Drosophila melanogaster: one gene and its partner. The protein of the gene in region 1 purifies or fractionates together with the protein of each later gene. This does not show direct contact. Each region holds a gene or a part of one and is shown on either strand. Other genes may lie near its edges.

Evidence for each region. Proteins that work in one complex are often made in the same cells at the same time.
Region 2: the proteins of COX5B (region 1) and ValRS-m purify together in Drosophila melanogaster (affinity purification with mass spectrometry, with the first as the bait; one large-scale study listed by BioGRID). This does not show direct contact.

The regions. Positions count from the first base shown.
Region 1 is NT_033779.5:6,555,990-6,559,937, forward strand, and holds COX5B (cytochrome c oxidase subunit 5B), read left to right. Parts: upstream 1-1,810; 5' UTR 1,811-1,913; coding exon 1,914-1,995; intron 1,996-2,428; coding exon 2,429-2,602; intron 2,603-2,949; coding exon 2,950-3,056; 3' UTR 3,057-3,319; downstream 3,320-3,948. Other genes in the region: IFT52 (intraflagellar transport 52), read right to left, coding at 1-367, 424-1,069, 1,330-1,442; COX5BL (cytochrome c oxidase subunit 5B-like), read left to right, coding at 3,542-3,722, 3,779-3,948.
Region 2 is NT_037436.4:8,960,774-8,966,509, reverse strand, and holds ValRS-m (Valyl-tRNA synthetase, mitochondrial), read left to right. Parts: upstream 1-1,740; 5' UTR 1,741-1,883; coding exon 1,884-1,977; intron 1,978-2,045; coding exon 2,046-3,799; intron 3,800-3,854; coding exon 3,855-4,304; intron 4,305-4,363; coding exon 4,364-4,993; intron 4,994-5,053; coding exon 5,054-5,110; 3' UTR 5,111-5,236; downstream 5,237-5,736. Other genes in the region: CG5653 (uncharacterized protein), read left to right, coding at 148-1,578; CG13313 (uncharacterized protein), read right to left, coding at 5,615-5,736.

The DNA of each region.
Region 1 (3,948 bases):
CCTGCAGCACCTGGCCGGTCATGTGCGCCAGCTGGGATCGAGCTCCGCTGAAAGTCTCGTCGAGATCGTACAGCTCCAGCGGCGGAGCCGAAGGCTCGCTGAAGATGGGCGGAAACGTTGCCAACTGGACGTTGGGCAGCGGAATCTCGAACTGCGGCTTGATGATCTTCAGCGGCTCGTACTTGACATGCAGTTGCTCGTAGGTATCCATGACGTCCTTAAGCAGGCGGTTGCTCAGCCTGCAGAGCCTCATGTCAAACATCTGCTTGAAGTCCGTGGGCATGTCGGTTCCAATCGAATCGATCAGGCAGGCCTTTGGCATATCGGCCAGGAACCCAATATCGGTGAAGTGCTTGTTGTCGCTCAGCTGTGGATTATAATGCAATTAGTTTGCTGCAAACTTTCTGTTGGTAATTAACCCACCTCCACATCATTGAAGTCCAAGTGACTGTAGGTAATCTCATCGCCTCCAAGCAGCTTTATCAAGTACTCAAACATGGCATCGTTAGTCTTGTCCTGCAGATACTTGTCATGCCAAATGTATCCAGATCCCACCGCCAGGATTTTCCCACCTTTCCCGTTTGTAAAGTAGCCGACCAAGGGACGATTGAAGGGATACACCACTGGACCCGTGGTGAGCAGGACATTGGCAGGTTCCGATACATTCAGCGTGGCCCCATAGGGATATTGAAAGTGTATCTTGTACTTCTCGTCACTGAAATCGTAGTACACCTTCTCTATGTCTAGCTTGAGGAGGTGTCGCCACATGGACTCGCAAACAACGCCACCACCAACGATACACTCCTTGGGATGGAAGTTCTTGTAGTAGTGCGGTCGCACCACAGTGTCGCCGTTGATGTAGATCCCGTACTGCTCCAGGAAGAAGTTCACGTTGGTATTGAACTCCGGCTCCCCGCCTTCCCCCAGGAGCACCACCAGACTGCCTCCTTGCACCTCCACGTAGTGCTTCAGCACATCGAATTCATCCTCTGTGAATCGGTCCTGTGGCCCGGCGAGAACAAATATCTTAACCCGAGCAAGTCGCTCCATTCTGAGTTCCGCATCATTTCTGTAAATCCATTTTAAAACATAATTTAATAATAGTTCATTCTGGATTTTTGATTCATTCCTAAGTCTAAAATGTATTACATTTAAAAAAGTTTTGTTTTAAGGAAAACATCCTTTATGAAAGTGGGATATGCAAATATTAAAGATCAATCATTTATTTGAAAACCTGTATGAGCTGATTATTTTGATAGTTGAAAAATATTTGTTTTGTTTTTATAGTAATGTTTGCTTATTGGCCAAAATAATTTCTGGGATACTGACTGTTCCACATTCCAATTGACCTTCAATTTGCGATGCATCATTTTGTAGTTGTCCGATATTTGAAATCGTTCATTTTTTGATGTATCAAAGCAGATTACCGGCTTGCTTGACATTTTTCATGCAGATTCAATAAACTTTTTAATAAAATTTTTTGTTTTTACATTTGGTTGCCCGGCAACGCAGTGGCGCCCTCTTGTGGTTTCGATACCAGTGTTCCGCCGGTGTTTTCCAACACTTAAGTTCGGTTGATTGTTGCACACTGTAGGGTGACCGTTGTACATTAATTTTTTAAATGTGGTATATCGGTTGCTAACAAAAATATATGTTTATTATTATTTTAAGAACTTTATTGTTTAAGCTAGAGTTTATTTCCCAATTATTACGACGAATAACAATAGGACACTTTGTTTGTTTTTATTTGGTCTACTCAAGCATTTGAAAGTATCAATATCATATTTTCTGCAGCGTGTGGTATTTTTTCTTACTTTACCGCGGTCACACTGATCCATAGCTGTGTGAAAAATTACGAAAGAATTTTTGGTGTTCACCACTTAAGACCGACCGAAATTTTCGCAAAACGAACAATGGCATCGATCTGTGGACGCATGGCGCTCCGTGCCGCCGCACGCCAGAATGTTGCCTACACGCCCGTGCGCTTCTGCAAAAGTAAGTGGTGCAAATGCGGAGGGAAGTCCCACGGCCAGCTGCTTTTCGGTCACGTTCGCCGATTTGGCGGAGTTTCTGCCCTGGAATTGCATAATATTGGAGTGCAGGTGGAAGACCAGCATGGCACTGTGCTCCACTAACCTGGAGAGCATCAGATTTGGACCCACAGAAAAGTGTCTATTGAAAGTGCGAGGTTATGTAATAACTATGCGCTGGGAAATGTGCGACTTATGGTCGGAGAGGGGGAGCGGTGACACCACAGTGCGGAGTTAACACCTCGACAGAAGCTGGCCGGGATTACCCCTCCGAAGAGCTGTACTTGTGACGGAGCGTCTGGGTTTGGGGCGTCTGCTGTTTATGTAACCAGTGACCCATTCGCTTATCAATTTATGAGCTAATTCCTAATTGCGTTTCCCACTTCTCCGCCTTGCAGTGATGAACGATCCTTTGGAGCACGCCACTGGTATCGAGAAGCGCGAGCTGCTGCTTAAGGCCGCCGGCAATGATAACCCCTTCGACATGAAGGTCTTCAAGCGGGGCGCCGGCACCAAGGAGAACCCCAACCTTATTCCATCGGCCTTCGATGCTCGCATTGTGGGCTGCATCTGTAAGTAGTCCAACAACACCAGCTGCGGTCAGGATAATGGCAGAGATTGGAGTATTCTATCAGCCGTAAAATTTGCATTCTATTCTGTTTAGGTGCATTTCAATGACGTTTCTGTGCGAAGCAAAATTTAATTCCTTTCATTGTAATATTTATCCAATTGAGTCGCTTTAATTTAATTAAGTTTTGAGCTCTGATTAGCTACACACCGCGTTTAAACGTTTTCATATATTATTTTGAATAATTGCACACACTCCAACTAAGGAAACCTTAATGCCTTTATCCTGACCAAAAATAAAGCCCATCATTCCAGTAGAGTACTTTCTAACAAACCTTTCATTCCAAACCAGGCGAAGAGGATCAGACCTACGTGCAATGGATGTGGCTGCAGAAGGGCAACCAGAAACGTTGTGAGTGCGGCCATTGGTTCAAGCTGGTGGAGAAGGCAGCTGTTTAAAGTTATTATTAATTAATTCAATAAACCAATTAATAACAAAAACACAACAACTACTAAGCTAAAAGTCAACCCACTTAGCTGTCCAAATAAACAAACATCAACCCAAAAAAAAAAAAAAAAACGAAACTGTGAACAGAGAGGAGTGAAAGGGCGGCACAGCTTCCATTTTCAGATCTGCAAACGTGTTTTCGAACGCAGCCGAGGAAAATTGCTTAATTAACACAAAAAGCGAACAATAAAGTCTAAAGAAGAGATTTTGAGTGAAAATCAAAGGATTTATTTTAAAAAAGCTTGTCTAAAGACAGAAGAAAGTTGAATTTCGTTTAAAAATGTTTAAAATCGCAGAACTAATTTAATTTTAATAAGGCAGTAGGCGTCTTAATAAGAAATCAAACATTTTCAAAACCCTTTGATCAGATTCAACTCACTCAAAGTGGGAAATTCTCGTGTGATAACCATAATTTTCTAGATAAACTCCTTTAAAAATGTCGTCCTACATTTCGCGTCTACTTAAGGCTCAGTCCGCCTCCAAACGTCTGATCTCCAATTTAACCCAGCGCGACGGAAAGCTAAGCTCTTTGCTTCGACGACTAGGTTTACAGTGGCAAGGATCAGCCGCTGCTCCTCAACAGCGTCCCATATCCACAACTCAGGTGCAAAAGTCAGGTAAGTAGTGGTTGCAGCTTGCAAAGATCTCCAGTTCAGGTCTCATGCCCGATTAGCGCTAATTGCGGACGATCAACTGGTCACCGGGATTCAGAAGCGCGAAATGCTGCTGGCCAAGCAGGGCTGCGAGGACCCTTGGGGTTTCAGCAAGGTGATCAGGCGCGGATCGGGAAGGGAGAACGACCCCACCGTCGTGCCATCGGCGTTCGATGCACGCCTCGTAGGC
Region 2 (5,736 bases), on another chromosome or scaffold:
AGCAGAGTGTGCAAAAAGTTGTACTCCAACCGCAGTGGAAGCCATTGAAATGCAGCATCCATCACTTGCCAAGTTAGCCCACAAACTTCATCAGTAGCTCGTTGATCGTCTGCTCTTTCTGTCGAACTTAACTACCAACGTTTCAAAATGGAAAAATGCCGTGCCTCCTCTAGGATAATCATAATCGGAGCAGGAGTTTCGGGCATAGCCGCCGCCACTCGACTCCTGCAAAACAATTTCCAGAATGTTCAGATCCTGGAGGCGGAGGATCGCATTGGCGGGCGGATCAACACCGTGTATTTTGGTGACAACGTCATCGATTTGGGAGCCCAGTGGTGTCATGGAAAGCAGCAAAATTGTGTATACGACATGGTCAAGGATATGGGTATCCTGCACGAGACAGGCGACTATTACAGTCCCATAAAGAGGGTGAGATCCAACAAGGAGGTGGTTCCACATGAGTTGGCCTGCAGGATTCACGACATTGCTGTGAAGAGCATGCCGAGTGGACCTCACCCGGTTGTGGGATCCTTTGGCACCCACCTGACTCAGACCTTCTGGCGCAAGATCGAGTCCGAGCTACCCCAAGTGAATAGGGATGTGGCTAGTGAGGCCTTGAATACATTTGCGAAGCATGAAAGCTCTATTATTGGTGCGGACAATCTTTTCGAGGTCTCCGTTAGGGAACACATCGAGTACCACGAATGTGATGGCGACAAGCTGCTCCACTGGGGAACGAAGGGTTACCGGCGCTTCCTGCGGCTGCTGATGAAGGTCAGCGCGGATACGCCAGAAGAGCTGGGTCTACTGGAAGGACGTATTCAACTTGATATGAAGGTCATCAAGATTGAGTTGGCGTGCCCCCGTAAGGTAATCCTGCGCTGCCAGGATGGGGATTACTTCGAGGCGGACCACGTCATCTGCACCGTTTCCCTGGGAGTCCTGCAGGAGCAGCACGAGAAACTGTTCGTCCCGCCGCTGCCCGCAGCCAAGGTGAATGCCATTCGCAGCCTCACCCTGGGCACTGTGAACAAACTGTATTTGGAGTATGAGAAGCAACCTCTTCCTGACGGCTGGGTGGGTTTCTTCTGCTTTTGGCTGGAAGAGGATCTGATAGAGCTGCGAAAGACGGAATATTTCTGGGTGGAGGGTATAACCGGTGTACACATGATCACTTGTCAGCCCCGAATGTTGATGGCCTGGGTGAATGGTCCGCATGGACGCCACATGGAGACCCTGTCCGATGAGAAAGTCCTTGAGGGCTTGTACTGGCTTTTCCGAAAGTTCCTCACTTTCGAAATTCCGCCGCCAAAGCGTTTCGTTCGCAGCTCGTGGTTTTCGAATCCGAATTTCCGTGGCAGTTGGAGTTATCGTGGAGTTATGGCCGATGAAAGGAATACGGGCCCCTGGGATCTAGAGTCTCCTGTGTTGGGCGAAGATGGTCATTTAGGCCTCCTTTTTGCCGGAGAAGCGTCTAGCAGGAATCACTTTTCCACCGTTCACGGAGCTGTGGAGGCGGGCTATCGGGAGGCAGACCGGCTCATTGATCATTACACCTCATGCAGTGTCAGTGCCTGAAAAATATATTTTTTTATCGTACTTTTCTTTATGGTTTCTTAATAAAATTGTTCTCTTTTATAAATTAAAAAAAATTACATTGGATCCTGATATTCACATACGTACCCTCTGAGATGTTTTATGTTTCTCTTTTGACAAATCAAATAAATAATGAAGTTTGAAAAAAAATTGAGGAGGAAAGCTCTACCGTTTCTCGTTTGAAATTGGCGCCCATAAGCCGTATATCGATTATCTCCTCAGCTGTTTTTATACCATCACCAATAAGATTACAATTTTTTTTGACATAACATAACACAACATTAAAAATGCAAATAATTGGGAATTGTAGCAGTAAACTGCTCAGACACAAGTACCTGTGCCAGCCAAGGGTGTACTCTCTATACTACAGTACCCTTAAAGGTGCGTTACCTCCAGTTTCATTCAAAACCCCAGTGCCGGCTAAAGAACTCACTTTTTTCCACTTTTAGATGCGGCTAATGAGCTTCCCTTGGCAGCAGGATACCAGCCACAACCAGTGGAAAATGCTTACTGGGAGCGGGAGCATCGCCAGGCAAATTTGCCCAAGGCTTCAGCCAGCAGTTGCAAGCGGGGGACCTATCGCATGCTTCTACCGCCACCAAATGTAACCGGGAATCTACATTTGGGCCATGCACTGATGGCCACCGTGCAGGATGTGATTGCCCGCCAGCGCGAACAGCTTGGCTACCAGGTGGACTGGGTACCAGGCACAGATCACGCGGGTATCGCCACCCAGGTGGTCGTAGAGCGCACGATTGCCGCTTCTCAGGCGAAAACCCGTCATGAATTGGGACGTTCTGCTTTTCTGGACGAAGTATGGCGCTGGAAGGCGGAAAAGGGTGCTGGTATCGTACAGGATCTCCGCCAACTCGGCTGTAAACTGAATTGGCAACGAGAATACTTCACAATGGATGAGCAGCAGGCGCATGCGGTCAACGTAGCTTTCGAGCGACTCTTTGAAGAAGGCCTAATTCAGCGGCGCAACTCGGTTGTCAACTGGTGCACCGCTCTACGTTCCGCGATATCTGATATCGAGGTGGACAGTGTAGAGATCACGGAGCCGGTAGAGATATCCGTTCCAGGCTACGATCACAAAGTACTCTTTGGCAGAATGTACGATTTCGCCTATCACGTAGTGGATGGTGAAGCACTGCCCGATGGTTCGGTTGAAGAGATTGTGGTGTCTACCACTAGACCAGAGACAATTTTGGGTGATGTAGCTGTCGCAGTACATCCGCTGGATCCGCGCTACGCCAAGTACCGAAACATTGATCAGGTTAAGCTCAAGCATCCTTTCCGTGACGACACCATTCCACTCGTTTTCGATATCACCGTGGACCAGGAGTTTGGCACCGGGGCAGTGAAAATCACACCAGCCCATGACAAATTTGATTTCGAGCTGGCCACTCGCCATAAGCTTGAACCTCGCCAGGTCTTTACTGAAACGGGTCTTGTGGTGGATGCCTATTCTGAGTACAAGGGTATTCCGCGCTTCGAGGCGCGAGATCTCATCGTCAATCGCCTGGAAGAGATGGATTTGCTGCGACAGGTGCGCTCTCATACCATGCAGTTGCCCATCTGCTCGCGTTCCAAGGACGTCATAGAGTACATGATATTGCCGCAATGGTTTCTTAAGTGCAAAGACTTGGCAAAGGATGCCTTATCTGAACTTCATAGTGGACGTCTGCAAATCCTGCCTCCGAACTTCGAAACGGAGTGGGAACGCTGGCTACAGGATAGCCGCGACTGGTGCATTTCCCGGCAGTTGTGGTGGGGGCATCAGGTGCCCGCATACGAGGTCATCGACTCCCAGGGAAACAGTCAATGGGTGGCTGCCCTTGACGAGAAGACAGCTAGGCAGAAAGCCATGAGACTTATTGGTAGCGAAGAATTTACATTGAAACGTGATCCGGATGTACTGGACACTTGGTTTTCATCATCGCTGCTGCCTTTCTCCACAGCCGGTTGGCCAGAGGAGAGCTACAAAGAAAGATATCCTTTGGACATAATGCAGACTGGCCATGATATTATCTTCTTTTGGGTGGCGCGCATGATGATGTTGGGTCTGAAGCTGACCGGCGAGGCACCCTTTCAGAGAATTTTGCTAAACGGCATTGTGTGCGATGCTCATGGCCGGAAGATGTCCAAGAGTATCGGCAACATCGTGGCCCCACAGCAGGTGGTTCAGGGCGCCAGTTTAGAGGTAAGTTAGGCCATTCTTGCCAAGAATAAAATTTAACGATATATTACATCTGCAGAGCCTGAAGGCTGGCTTAGAGCAATCGTGCGAGGCGGGCATTATTACGCCTTCAGAGTTAAAGGCCTCCACGATTGGAATGACGCAAATGTTCCCCAATGGCATTCAAGAGTGCGGCACCGATGCTCTACGCTTCACCCTGATGAGCCACAACATCAAGAGTCACTTCATTAGCTTCGATGTGAACGCCTGCCACACCAATAAGCTTTTCCTAAACAAAGTATGGCAAGCTATGCGATTTACCCTCGGCTCAGCCAAGGGACTGGGAATCTCGCTGCATCAGTTTGAGACTCTTGAAGGTGTGAATCTGGGCCTTTGGGATCGCTGGATCGTCGGACGCCTCGCGGAGACCTTGTCTGTCTGCTCGCAGAGCTACAGCAACTACAATTTCCACTTGGCCACAGCAGCCCTGAAGACCTTCTTCTATCAATATCTCTGTGATACTTACTTGGTAAGTTGGTTGTCATTCAATTGTTACTCAGCATCAACAAAAGCTGCTGAAATCGACAGGAAACAACCAAACCTGCGATAGGAAATCGCAGTGCTGATGCCTACATCCATGTGGGCACCCTGACCGCTTGCCTTAGCTGGGGACTGCAGGCCATGGCCCCGTATGCTCCCTTTGTGGCTTCCGAATTACTGCAGCATGTGCCCCTTAATATAGAGCTTAAACTGTCCGACTACAAGGATGAAAAGTTGGAGGAAGAGGTCAACGAAATAGTGAACATCTGCCATAATGTGCGACAGGTTAAGAGTCGCAATGAGATTAGCAAGCGCCATCATCCGCAACTCAGTTTGTTTGCCCAGAATACGGACTCGGAAGGAGTGCTTCGTCGTCATTTGCCGCAGATCAAGGTGTTATCTCGCTGCGAAGACGTGGAACTGGAATTGTTTGACGAGAGCTCAAAGATTTCGAAGCAACTCAGCTACTTCTCAACGGCAGGAGCACTCTGCTCCTTTGGCTTGAAATTGAGCGATGGATTGGATCTGACGCCGGAAAAACGAGACGAAATGCAGAAGGCCAATGCCAAAAAACTGAAGAAGTTGGTCACCGAATTGCAGCGGTATCGCATGCGCCTGGATAACGAAGCCTTCCAACTGATGGCCGACAAGAAAGTTAAGTCACATTTCGAAAATAAGGTAATGTGCTATAAAGTTTTGATTCCATGCGACATTATTTTTATTGGTTTTTTATTGTAGGTCAAAGAGTTGGAGGCGGAAATCAACAGTCTCACTCGGCTGGCAGTATTGTCCTAATGCACTGCATAACAATTAGCTTAGATAATGCCATTGTTATTGACTTACATCCGCCTAAGTCATCTGTTTGTTTAGAATTAAAGACTGCAATATTTATTAAATGCGCAACGTACCTTATAAAGGCACTAAGCATAAAAATACTCAACTACTTGTCACTGATCTAATTCAAATATCAATTTCTGTTCGGAAAATTTAGACATTTCCGTTTTAAACCGCTAACTCTTTTGTCACCAAAACCGCAAAATACTACAGATATTTTTTTTGAATTTGTTTTAAATTCCTATTAGATCATTTTTGCTAATTGCTAAGTTCACGAAATCAAACGAATATTGGTTTAAATCGGAAATGGTTATTGTTTTTACACTTTCGTATGTTAATTAATGTTTAAATTTACCAGATGCTTCGTCCAAATTCCTCGAAAGGATCCCCAATTTCTCTTCTCCAGATATGTATCACGGTTTTTTGTTATGCTATGATTATCAAGTCTTTTATTGTATACCATATTTACAGAATTGGACACGCGTTCTGCGAATACGACAAGTAGAAGCCGCGATTCGATATGTCCATATCCTCATTACCATCGGTGACTGTGTAGACAACGAATGGCTTCGCCGATGTGGTCGTGG